3 linked regions of the Schizosaccharomyces pombe genome follow. The protein of the gene in region 1 purifies or fractionates together with the protein of each later gene. This does not show direct contact. Each region holds a gene or a part of one and is shown on either strand. Other genes may lie near its edges.

Region 1 (4,555 bases):
ATGGCCAGTGAGGGCGCGGACAGGAAGTATACCAAAAAGGGGACTTTAGATTCTCTCCAATGTTTTACGAGGAAGCTGCTTATAATAGACAAAAGAATTGAAAGAGCTAGCAAAAAAGGCCTAGGAAGAGACCTCGGGAGACTAAAATCTTTATAATTGTGAAGAATAAACCGTAAGGCAAAACATATCCTCAGTGATAAATTTAATATATTTGCAAGGATTAATCCATGAGAGCCTAAATTAAACCATGATAGAAGGAATTTTCCAGTAATAAAATAAAATACAGCGGAAGCCAAATAACACTTCCCTTGATCATACAACTGAGAAGAGTTGGCTGCTGAAACATAAAATGCTTCCAACACGCCGTTTGCAGCCATAAACGGAATATACATTGCGTACCAAGATAAAATGCTAGAGCTATCAGGAGAAGCCCACTTACTTCCTGCGCCAAACAAAAGAACAATGTCCGAGTAATTACTTCCAAAAAGGATAAACAAACTCATATAAGAATATAATTTTAAAATCCATGCCAACAAATTTAAAGCCTTTTTTTCATCTTTTTTGTTCTTATAATGCGTTAACTGAGCAAAAACAATGTGAGAATGGTCCTCTACTGGTCGAAACACGATTCTCGCCAATAAAGAACCATAATTGGAAGCTAGCGCATACGGACCTTGAGCAGAAGGAGAAGCATACCATGCTACCATTATCTTATCGCCCTTTGTGATTAGGTGTTTTAACAACACTTGATAAGTATGTGAACAGATTATTCGAAGAGTAGAACTATCCCAAAATATATACCTCTCGTTTTCTCCCACTTTGTGGAGAAATATGGAGAATGGCTGTTTAGCAAAATACCTTAAAGTAAAAAAAATGGTTACTTTTTCTGACAAGTTACCGAGGGCAAAAGGAAGACTTGACGGTGCCTTATTCCTTCCTAAAACAGAAATTGCAAAGGACAATAAAGAGCAAATAATTGTTCCAAGTCCTTCTGCTGAAGCAGTCTTGGAGAACTTCTGGCGCCATTGAAGAACTTCATAGTATGGTTCAGATAGCAACTCAATGAAACTAGAAACGGTGTAAATAAAAATACATGTTTTAGAATAAGGAAAATTAGGAAGTGAATAGAAGTAAAATAAAGAAACCAGAAGCGATATTACGATACCAATGTAAACACTGATCAAAGAAGTATTCTTGATCAATTGCAACTGATCACTTAATTTTTTTGATTTGTTTGACTCAGTAGAAGTAGAGGTAATTATTGCATTTTCCGAAGGAATTCTTTGCATAGCTAATCGAACCGACTCCCTGCTGAGGAAAAGGATCGTACTCTGTAATATCTCAAAATGAATAGAAGAAAATGCATAGGCGCTAGGACTAGTTAACCGAATGGTCAGTTGGTTTAAGAAGAAAGTCAATATTCTCGAACTTCCTTGAAAAAATATGGAGGAGCGCAGTCCCTTCGAGGACGACTGCAGCAAAGAATCAGATTTATCCATTAGCTAGTTGGTACTGATCTAGATTCAAAGAATTATACTACAAGTCAATAGTTGTTTACCTCTTTCTTCCATTAATGTCCCAACTTTTTTTATGTAATTCGTATTCTAACTTATAAATGAGATATTTACTTGGTGGATTTGGCGCATAAATGGGTGTCTCTTGAGCGCGCAGTTAACTTTTCAGGACACATTACTAACATAGAGCATTAAGGAATTCTACAATATACTTGAGTTAACGAAGTAGAGTTGCCATGTTTAACCCGCCGGCTATACAGCCATATTTGTATTAAAGATGCGTTAAAGTACAGTAAGCTTCTACTGCTTGTAATTCATATGCTGTTAATACCAGGTTACCTTAAACTTCCATAAGTATAATAATCACAAACCCATTTCACGACTGATTTTAAGGACGTAGGTACAATTAAAATTCGTTTTCCTATTTTATAATTTTGTGGTTAGATAATTAATAGTAAATCAGATACTCAAGAATATACAGATGATTATTACTGTATACTAAAATTTTTTTAGGCTGAAGAGTGTTTGATGTTTAGTGAAGCGTACCGTAAATTAAGCATTGCTGGCATGTAATAACTTGGACTACTTCTAGTTTAAGGCATCATTCTACTAAGTCTGAAAGTTTTTTGTTTGAAACTCATTAAGAACCTTTGTAGACAACTTTCTATTAAAAAAAATAGGTTCTTTATTTGTACTTAGCTTTACTTTTGCATCTGCTTTTTAGCTACAAGTTTGAACAATTTACTTGTGTTTTACACCAATACTGGGACTTATGCGATTAAGCTTTCTATTTTAATTCTGCTATTATTTTTTTTTGTCATAAACTTATTTTGATGACCTTGATGATTAAATTGTACTAGAAAAATGACAGAAGGAGTTACTGTACAAAAAGTTCAAAGCGCTAGCTCGAATGGGCACAAACCCAACACAGTAATTTCGCAAATAATCTCAGAGATGCAATCACTTTTGGGTAGCAGTTTCGAGGTGTATACTAAAACAATGACGGACTTCTTAATTGGACAGTTGAGCAGAAAGGAAATGAAGTCGATGCTGTTAACTTTCGCTGGAAAATCAAATTTTGGTAAGATATAAATTTTTATTTAATATTGTTCTGACACTTTAGATAAACTACACAATTCAATCATTTTTCATATTCTCAAATTGATGCAAAAAAATAATGATACCTTTAGTGCTCTACATCATTTACCTTGGTTTAAACGGAAGAAAGTCGATAATAGTTTATTTTTACATAAAAAAATTAGTTCGCAGAATGCACAGGTTCGATTAATCAAGCGAATAGTAATGTCTTTAAGTTATAAAGACCGGGCTAGGATCAAAACTGCTTTAAAAGTAGGCTTTATTATAAGTCTTTTTTATCACCTTTCTAACAAACATATCTAGGAAAAGCCAGTTACACCAAGTTTGATCTCAGGATTGCTGCTGGAAACGAGAATTGCAAAATTACCTAAAATTCCTGTATCCCGAGACAAGCTGAATTCAGGTAAGCCTATTCTTTAATAGGTTCTAAGGAAGTATTCAAAAGTGTAACCATTTAATTTTTATTAACGGAAATTTCCTTTTAACCACAATTTGGGTAATATTTTCACTAACCTCATTAGTATTTGTAAATGATATTAAAGCCGGCTATGTTGCACCTCTAGCATGTGAAACACTTGAACTTCCAGATTCAGAATCGTTAAAAGAACGAATTACAGCTATTTCTCTTGAAAATGGCTTATTGGGTGGTGTACAAAAGGGTGTGTCTGATATTATATTGGCTGGGTTAGAAAGCCATCTAAAGAACATTCTAAGCAGATGCTTTTCTATATTAAACAAAAATATTCGACAAAAAAATACTGAAAATGATGCGGCAGGTTTTACCATTAATGACCTTAATCTAGCATGGACTATTGAACCTCATGCTTTTGTCGAACAGTATCCACAGAAGTTAAGAATGCCGTTTTTGCTTCATGATAGTTATACTGAAGATGAAATTTCAATTTGTGCAGAATCGCCAAGCTACATGCTTGCAAGCAATGATGCGCAAAGTGATAGGAATTCTGTTGCTTCCCTTTTAGATGAAGTGCTTTCATAACCGCGGAGGTTCTTTTTTTTTTAATCTAATCGTCAGAAGTGCTTTATTTATTTACAATCTTAAAAGCTTCAAGGGCTATTCTTCAAGCGTTTCAGCTCGCAAATATACAAGACTTGATTATCCTTTTAAGTTAGATTTTTTTCACATATTTTTTTTTTTTAATTTATAGTAATGAATTTAATATATAACAGGTTGCGAAATATGTAAGATGAAGCAATATAGATATTCTAAAATACGTAATTATCCAGCAAGATTTACCGACAGAATACTATTATTGTTCAAGATTTGCTAAAATATAGTATTAGTAAAAACTGTTTAAATACGATCATCAGTATCCATATCGATGCCAGCATAAGGCGTCCGGAAATCCTGTTGTCTATTACTGAAACTTTCACTTTCGCCAACAGCTTCGTCAACAGAAATGCGCTCATCGTCCATCTTCTTTAAAGATGTTTCTTTCATTGTAACGTCCTCATGAGTAGTTTTCTCATTTTTACCGTCCTCCGAATAAGATCTACTAGTAGCCATCTCTAAGGTGGCATTGTCCATAGCTTTGCGGTCGTCAGGATCTTCCCAAAATCTGCGGTTACCCTTAAAGAGGCGACGTACCCATTGAGGCAATAAACCCCCCTCGACACGCCATGTCCAAGCTTCTTTTTGATTATAGTCAGCCGGTACAAGTCTACCGCGTGACATTTTGTCAATAGCATAAATAATGGAGTTTAGTAGAGCGTAGCAAATAATACCGGCAATCAAGCCATACGCAATCGAGTAGGTAAATGGCATCAAAGCAATTGTAATAAAAGCAGGAATGGAGTCACCAAGGTAACTCCAGTTAATCAATGTAGTACTCTTCATCATCATACTGCCGACAAGTACTAATGTAGAACCGGTAGCCCAGACTGGAATACTTGAAAAAATAGGAGCAAAGAAAAGAGAAATGAAA
Region 2 (4,346 bases), on another chromosome or scaffold:
AGAAGAAAGACCGTATTGTTGATGCATTGAATGCTGTTAAGGCTGCTGTTTCCGAGGGTGTTCTCCCAGGTGCTGGTACCTCTTTTGTTAAGGCTAGTCTTCGCTTAGGAGACATTCCTACAAATAACTTTGATCAAAAGCTTGGCGTCGAAATTGTTCGCAAAGCTATCACTCGTCCCGCTCAAACCATTCTTGAAAATGCTGGATTAGAGGGTAACTTGATTGTTGGTAAACTTAAGGAGCTTTATGGCAAGGAATTTAACATCGGTTATGATATTGCTAAGGATCGTTTTGTTGATTTAAATGAAATTGGTGTTTTGGATCCCCTAAAGGTCGTACGTACCGGTTTAGTTGATGCTAGTGGAGTCGCCTCATTAATGGGTACCACCGAATGTGCCATCGTCGATGCTCCTGAAGAGTCCAAGGCCCCTGCTGGTCCTCCCGGAATGGGTGGCATGGGTGGAATGCCCGGTATGATGTAAGGTATCAAAAAAATGCCGACGTGGTTTTTTAAATTTTTACAATTTATTAAAAGCTTATGATTATGATGATTTAAATCCATTCAGAGAAATTGGCTTTAATTTTGCATTATGTTGTTGACCTTCGTAAAATTCTTTAGTTTCAAAACTAGTTAATGGGTCATACTTCTGTTAATGGATACTTATTGTTTTGAAACTTTTCATTCGGCTATTCTCATATGGTTGCTAATTGTACAATCAAACTCCTGATTTTGTTTAATGAACATAATGTTTTACCTTGTGTTTATTACACATTATAATTTCACTCTTTTTACGAATGGTATGACTTTCGACTTAAATACCAAGTTTTCACTTTTGTGTTTTTGTAAGTTCTGAATTGTGTTTACGTAAAGCATCAAGTTTCTTTATATTTCCTATACAGGTTTGTGGTGAGCTTTGAAATGGTTGAAGTATGTGAGAGATAAATGATTTTGAAAATGATGAAAATAACGCGGATGAAATATATGTCCGAGAGCGCAAAAAATGTGTGGATATTTCCGTTGCCTTCCTTCTGATTCAAAATTATTATATAACTTATATATTTTTAGCTGTCGTGCGAGTATCCCTACTATATTCTTTTTAGGGGATCTGTATAGGTCATATAAAGAAAATTAAAATGCATGATATTATGTTATCACTAGTATTGTGGTAAATTGTATTTTCAAAGTTATGATGAGAGGCAATTGTAAGTAATAAAGAAACATTGGTGCGGTGTAAATTTTAAATGAGCCTAGTAGTTGAAGAAAGCTCTCGACGAGCTCATGCCAATTTCACAGCCTTACATGAATTACTCCAGTTTTTGTAACATTTTAAGAAAAAGCGCGCCGTCACTGATGTTGTTGCCGTCTCTTTCACTTTTTTCTATTCTATGTCGTACCATATATAAAAGATACAGTGTACAGTAATGTACAATATGAGCTGAATTTAAAAATGTTGTATACTTTTTTGCTCCATACACTGATTTCGTAGCAAATAAACAAATAAACAGGTACCTTATAACTGTAAACGATTTATTACCCACGCCCTGCTTTCGCAAGTTAAATAGGAAGTTCTGGAGGAACAAAATCATATAAATAAAACCATAATCATCTGCTGCAAAGATTCGTGAGCGCTTCAAAAATATTTACATATATCTAAATCATCAGCACTTCCCCGGCATTAGTAACAACTTTAAAAGGAAAATAAATTTATTCAGACTTCACAGAGAAGTCAAGTTTATCCTCCTCCATTCGTGAATCCGAGGAGTTCTCTTCCTTTGGTTGATTCTGTTGGGTTTCATTACTGACAATCCAGTTGGGTTGAGTTAAACAGTACTTCTCCGGTGGAAGACGAAACCCATAAGACGGCTGAATTTGGGGTAAAGGTTTTCGATTTCTCTCCATAGCAAGCTCTAGTAAAAATTCTTTTGGTGGAGGTCCAGTGAAGGAGTGATTGATTTGAGAAGCAACAGCTAAACGTACATCTTCTACAGAAATTGGAGCATTTTGCCCACGTGAATGTTCCGCATAAACCTGTGAATCCTGGATTAACTGCTGTGTATATCTATGTGCAAATGTTAACAACTGCAAAGGCACTGTTTGAGAGTATGATGGAACACCCAGAGAGCTAAGTATTAGATGAATCAGACGAACGTCCTTAGGTCCTTTTATAGATTCATCACTTATTCCTGGAGAACTCATGATTTATTAAATACTATAAGTATATGCGAAGACAAATACGACTCCCGTTATTTTTCTGTTTTACCACCCAAAAAGATTTATGGTCGTTGCGAGCGTTGCAAATTGTATCCACTCAGAAGTTAGCGTGAGTCCACTGCACACCACTAAATAGCTTGTTTCAGAAAGTTTACAACAATGCTATTTTACATATACATTACTAAATATTTCGAGTCATAAAAATTTATCTAAGCAAACTTTAATTTATGCAGAAGGAATGATTTCATTAAAGCAATTCCTATCAAAGTTGCTTTTAGTATCACCAATGTTAATAATTTAGAAGTTACATAAAATTTTAGTATAAGCAGCGTAAAGTAAAAACTCTCATTTAGTAAATAATAAAACGAACAGGATCATTCATACAAAATCAATGATGATACAAATTTACTAAAAATTGGCAGTGTTTTTTTTTTACAAAAGGACATGGAAAAAGGTTGAGATTTTCAAATGAGAAGAGCATCTAAGAACTAATTTTCTGAAAAAGAGGCATCGGGAAAGAAATATTAAAGCAGAATGAAGTAGAAACAGAACCAAGTAATTTAAAGGAAACCAAAAAAATTCAAACCATAATTGAAAATGAACATAACAAGACCGTTAAAACAACTGAGTCACAAAAACGTATTTAAATCTCTAAATATGTATGGTGCTTTTTTTTTATACTCATGTCGTAATTGCAATGGGAAGTTAATGGGTAATGAACTTCTTAGTACGATTAAAGAGTAAATATATATCAAAAAGACGTTCGTTCATTTTAAGTACCCGAACAATATGTTAAATGTAATGTTATGATGTTTAAGAAGAATAAACGAGCAAAGGACCCACTGATAAATGGTTTTCTATTGAATGCGGCGATTGACATTTAAATATCCTTTTCCTAAGCATGACATCTCCACCTGGCCTGATTCGAGCTCTTTAAATCTATATTCGCAATTGAAAAGTGCCTTCACATCCCGAAGAAAAACAACTAATTGCGAAGTAATACCAAGTTGACCCACAACTATTGTGTTAACGTCTTCAGAGGATAGTAGCATCCCGGTTAAAGTTGAAGGTTGTGTATATGGATCTACACAACCACCAGATTCAATAACTTCCAATAATTTCTTTGCGCAAAAGGAACCAACATCTTCTGGTGTTTCTCCAGCTTCACCACAATGCTCGGCAGCATAAGAGCAACCCTTATTAGTTTCTGCAACTAAAGTGATAGAATACCCAGGACTGTTACCACATTCATCTCCACGGCGAACGTCTGTATAAATGAAAACATCGGGTATAAAAGGATTTAAAACTCCGCGAGCAGATTCTACTAAGCGATTTGCAAAAGCGGGAGATACTCTAGTTGAAGAAGCAATTCCTCTGATTCGGAAGACTCTTCCAAATTCTGAGAGACGAATGGGAGGTAAAGACTCTTTAATTACAGGACATAAAAAATTCACTTCACCTCCTCCGCCAGGAGCAGAACCACGCTTTAATATGCGCAACTCAAGTTCATCACCAACTTGAAAACGCTTTTGAAGAGAGGGTAATACACTAGTGCGCAAAACATCGACACCAATATCTTCATTACTGGAAGTAACTCCAGTAAGAGTAAGTGAAGTAGGGGTTTTTGCAAAAAGACAAAGTATTAGAATTGGTTCCAAAAAATAGCCTATCCCTTTGGTAGTTGGACAATCATGGACTACACGACCTCCTATAATATTTCCTGGGCGATATATGAACGAAGTACCTGTGTAAGAAATTTCTATGACACTGCCATTGGTCAACTTCTCCAACAGCCTTAAAAACGAAACCTGGTAATCTTTGACACCAGGATCGGCTTCATCTGGGTAAATTCCTTCAACTCGAATCGGAGTTCCCGAGAGAGTTGCAAGGACTAACCGATGCGTCAAATACTCACATCCTTTAAAGCGTTTGAGCTGACCGGTTGACATCACGAGTTTAACAATTCAAAATGAATGCAAAGCCCCGAATTATTTTAAAAACGCGTTTTTCGAGACTTTGATATTTCAATTCCTTTACAGGAAATTTTTAGTTTTGGTAAAAGAATTTCTACAGCGCAAGAGGTAGAATTGACCTCTCAGCTAGGAGTTGCCGTGGTAACCGTAAAGCTACTTGT
Region 3 (4,325 bases), on another chromosome or scaffold:
GCTATTATCCACTCTATTTTTTTTTACCCTAAAATCAACCTTTGCATTGTCCCTTCTTTCTTTTCATACTTAATATTTAACCTTTATAAAAAAAATGACTACAGGTTATGAATCTGTTCCCACTTCCGAACCCTCTGATAATCTTGCACCACGAGCAGAGCTATGGCAACGCCATTTACTGGAAAAAAAAGAAGGTGATCAATCCATCTCCGTTTCGGCTTTTAATATTTCTTCAATGCATAATGAATTGTCTGGTTTAAGCGAAAAAAGTCGTCAACGTGTCGAAGCTGTATGGGCTGCTTTTTCAGAGGCTTCTTGCAGCGAACGTAAACTCGCTTTGCAAGGCATTTTAAACAACTGTTCGTCCTCTCTTCTCTCTTTTGCCTCCAGCACATTAGATTCTCTAGTACGCTTAGATTTTCTCTCTTTGCTCCCTGTTGAAATTTCGTTTCGCATTTTATCTTTTTTGGATGCTAGAAGCCTTTGCCAAGCTGCACAAGTCAGTAAACATTGGAAAGAACTTGCTGATGATGATGTTATATGGCATCGGATGTGTGAACAACATATTAATCGAAAATGTGAAAAATGCGGCTGGGGACTTCCGTTACTCGAAAGAAATACCTTATACGCAGCAAAGGCTTCCATACAAAAACGTTATGAACGACTTACAAAAAGAGGCGTCGATCAGGCTCATGAATCTTCACCCGTCAAAAAAGCAAAGCTGGACGATTATCCGACGTCGAGTAATGAAGAGACTATTTCTTCTGTCAAACCACCTTCTCCGAACTCCGATTCCAAATTCTTTCTTCCCTTTAAAACCAGACCATGGAAAGAAGTATATGCTGAACGTTGTAGAGTTGAATGCAACTGGCGGCATGGTCGTTGTCGCCAGGTTGTTCTCAGTGGCCACTCTGACGGTGTTATGTGTCTACAACTTGTAAGGAACATTCTTGCTAGCGGCAGTTATGATGCCACTATACGATTATGGAATCTTGCTACCTTTCAACAAGTTGCTCTATTAGAAGGTCATAGCAGTGGTGTTACGTGCCTTCAATTCGATCAGTGTAAACTTATCAGCGGTTCAATGGACAAAACTATTCGTATATGGAACTACAGAACCTCTGAATGCATTTCTATTTTACATGGTCATACGGATAGTGTTTTATGCTTAACGTTTGACTCTACGCTACTTGTTTCTGGAAGCGCAGATTGTACAGTTAAGCTGTGGCACTTTTCTGGCGGTAAGCGTATCACTTTACGCGGTCACACAGGACCTGTCAATTCTGTCCGCATAATTAGAGATCGTGGACTTGTTCTTTCCGGTTCCGACGATTCCACCATCAAGATTTGGTCTTTGGAAACAAACACGTGTCTTCATACTTTCAGTGCTCATATTGGCCCTGTCCAGAGTTTAGCTCTTGCTGATTCGCGATTGTTTTCTTGCTCATTGGACGGCACAATAAAGCAATGGGACATCGAGAAGAAAAAATGTGTTCATACATTGTTTGGACACATTGAAGGTGTATGGGAAATTGCGGCAGATCACCTTCGTTTAATCTCGGGAGCTCATGATGGTGTTGTTAAAGTTTGGGAGGCTTGTGAATGTGTTCACACGTTGAAGAATCACTCGGAGCCTGTAACCTCGGTTGCTCTTGGAGACTGTGAGGTAGTCAGTGGGTCTGAAGATGGGAAAATATATTTGTGGCTTTTCAATAATGCTCCAAATGAATCTCCAGTATCTACACAATCTGTTCCGATATCTTCCCTTAATGGTCAAAGGTCAAATTCAAGTGTGCAACGAGCTCTTTCTTCAGTACCCAACTACTCATCCTCGTTATCCAATATCTCAACCAGAAATTTAAATATCCCACCCTCTAATGCCAATAATGACGATGTGTCGATTCAATCGTAGTTACCCCAACATCGCATCGCCTTTTTGTTTGTGTCTATTTCTTTTTTTCTTCGGCATTTCGCTTGTATATCCTTCATTTTTCATCATTCGAAGCTATGTCTTTATTTATTGCTCGGGTTGCCAAAATGCCATATCTAAATTTGGCTCTTTTTTGGTAACAAACACTTTGTCTATAATCAAAAACTACTTCTAATATCCTTGCCTGTATTGTATTATTTAAATCATTTGAGATTGATGGCATCCCGGCATACAGTTTAGCCTTTTGCTTAATTTACTAGCGAATTATTTTATGACTTTTAACATTTTATGTATTTAATGAATACAATTTATCCTTAGTCGAGCTGAAGAATGTATGATTTGATGAATTGTAAAAGGGAGAAACTTAGGTACTATGTTGTAGGCGTTGTTTTTTCCAATTGCGCAAGTGGATTACTGATATTTTATTTCATGAGCGTGTGTATTTTGCATTGCTCTTGGAGTCAGAGAAGTATGAAATTAGCAAATTATATCAACACTCACTATTAGCAAATAAAGTCAGCTCCTACGCAAGCTAAAGATGTAACACCAAGTATTTGAGCCTAATAATTTTTATAATAAAGACATCAATTTGAAGCACTTCCGTTCTGTAAATCTCAATTTCCCATACGGATCAGTTGCATCTTTTTCCTCATTGTTTGAAATTTTGGAATCACCGGCTTTGTAACAATACTAACTTGCTTGGAATACTCAACTTTTGATTCCCAAAGAATGGTTTAAAGATGCAGCCTGCTTCTCTTGCCGGTATTGTAAGTACCTGATTTCTCTATGTGTAATTGTTTTTCCTTTCAAAATTAAACTTCCTCGCCAAAAAAAGATTTGCTTGTTTATGAAAGCATGTATCATTTAATCGATCGCGGTTTATTTAACATGTCAAATTGTAGTACTTTAAAGACAAAAGGAAGATTAATAGAAAAACAATTGTCAATAGGTGGCTGAATTTAACACTTGTACAACTTTTTCACTAACTTCAAATTTCAATCAGTCTTGCACTATATTTGAGAATTTGTTGAAAGACTACACCCATGAATTGACCCAAACAGTCCACAAGAATGCTAAATTATCTCTTCAAAAATGTCCGGCCTGTAACAAGCATTGTCGGCAGTATTGTACCAAGCCAGGCTACGATATATATGGTAATAGCGTCCAAACTCCTTCAAATGTCCCTTATTATTCTTGTTTAATGTGCAAGCGTGAAATAGCTGCGTCTCGATATGCTGCACATTTAGAGAAATGTAAAGGCAGGTCACTTTCAAACGCTACCTCGTACTCAACTCTTTTCGAAGATGACAATGCAGACGAAGAGGACTAGTTTTATTTGTTGCTTGTTTTAAGGTTTATTCTCATTATGCACATGTATGTCTTTCCCAGTAAGACGAACTACAATATTATTTTGCTAACTTGTGTAGCTAGTTATTAAACTCATATATAGTAGACTCTCACTTCAATAAAAAGACGAGGAATTGTAAACAAGAATTACCAATAAATATTATTAAAGGATAAAGATATTATTTAAACTATTTGGTTAATAATAATGCCCATATTAAGGTAACGAAGGTGAGAAGTAAATTTTTAATTGAGGAAAATATCTTTCAAAGTTGGTAAGACAAGGATAACAAGAATGAAGAAGTAAGTTGACAATAAATTTTGGTTTAACATATTTGTCATTATGTTCAGCAAATTTTAGGTAACGAGTGAATAATAGAAAAAAAATATCGTTTAATATTAAAAAAAGAAAAAGAAAGAAATTAGTTTATGTTTTAGCATTGACAACTTTCAATCGGTTTAATTTATTTTCTTTGCCATTTGAGATACCAGCTCTTTCATGATACCACTTAAGAAAAACAGAAGCAGCCATAGTTTGAGGTGCCAAATGACGGTTTAAAAGCTTCCCCTTCATATTTAAAGTACAAACTAAAATAGAGTTTGAAAGTTCATCTACTCGAAGACATTGTTCTATCGAAACGGCCTTCATTTCGATTTTTTTAACATACCTCGTCCAAACAACCAATCCATCGTCGCAAAAGACGCAGGCATTAAAATCATAAATAAATGAAGTAGCTGGAATAACTGACCCTTTAAATTTTATATGCCTTGGAATGTCCACCGCAACACCCTGGTTTCCACACAGTGCACTAAGTACTTGATAACTTTCCTCGCGGGCTTTTTCTTGGTCTATATAAGAACATAACTCTCGAAAATCGTCAAGTGTTTTGACCGCCATCCGAAAATCTCCATTCAAAAATGGATATTTCCGTAACATTTTACAAACACGTGCTAAATGTATAGGATATCTCAACAAGTGTTGCAATGGAATTAAAAGCTGACTGTTGCACGAAGAAGGATCAGAAATTATTTTTTCAATGGCAGATATTCC

Evidence for each region. Proteins that work in one complex are often made in the same cells at the same time.
Region 2: the proteins of hfi1 (region 1) and taf9 purify together in Schizosaccharomyces pombe (affinity purification with mass spectrometry, with the first as the bait; 2 studies listed by BioGRID). This does not show direct contact.
Region 3: the proteins of hfi1 (region 1) and sgf11 purify together in Schizosaccharomyces pombe (affinity purification with mass spectrometry, with the first as the bait; 2 studies listed by BioGRID). This does not show direct contact.

Annotation. Positions count from the first base shown.
Region 1 is NC_003423.3:3,577,279-3,581,833, reverse strand, and holds hfi1 (SAGA complex subunit Hfi1/Ada1), read left to right. Parts: upstream 1-2,114; 5' UTR 2,115-2,378; coding exon 2,379-2,595; intron 2,596-2,637; coding exon 2,638-2,864; intron 2,865-2,915; coding exon 2,916-3,015; intron 3,016-3,133; coding exon 3,134-3,609; 3' UTR 3,610-3,801; downstream 3,802-4,555. Other genes in the region: Man5GlcNac2-PP-Dol translocation protein Rft1, read right to left, coding at 1-1,499; SPOM_SPBC887.17 (transmembrane transporter), read right to left, coding at 3,925-4,555. UniProt on the Schizosaccharomyces pombe protein: Component of the transcription coactivator SAGA complex. SAGA acts as a general cofactor required for essentially all RNA polymerase II transcription. At the promoters, SAGA is required for transcription pre-initiation complex (PIC) recruitment.
Region 2 is NC_003424.3:336,243-340,588, reverse strand, and holds taf9 (SAGA complex/transcription factor TFIID complex subunit Taf9), read right to left. Parts: upstream 2,288-4,346; 5' UTR 2,198-2,287; coding exon 1,706-2,197; 3' UTR 826-1,705; downstream 1-825. Other genes in the region: protein Mcp60, read left to right, coding at 1-482; rcl1 (rRNA processing protein), read right to left, coding at 3,070-4,161. UniProt on the Schizosaccharomyces pombe protein: Functions as a component of both the DNA-binding general transcription initiation factor complex TFIID and the transcription coactivator SAGA complex.
Region 3 is NC_003424.3:1,370,653-1,374,977, reverse strand, and holds sgf11 (SAGA complex deubiquitinating submodule subunit Sgf11), read left to right. Parts: upstream 1-2,507; 5' UTR 2,508-2,670; coding exon 2,671-2,697; exon of another isoform or gene 2,698-2,933; coding exon 2,934-3,260; 3' UTR 3,261-3,304; exon of another isoform or gene 3,305-3,357; 3' UTR 3,358-3,500; downstream 3,501-4,325. Other genes in the region: F-box/WD repeat-containing protein Pof1, read left to right, coding at 95-1,912; mug10 (Rho guanine nucleotide exchange factor), read right to left, coding at 3,702-4,325.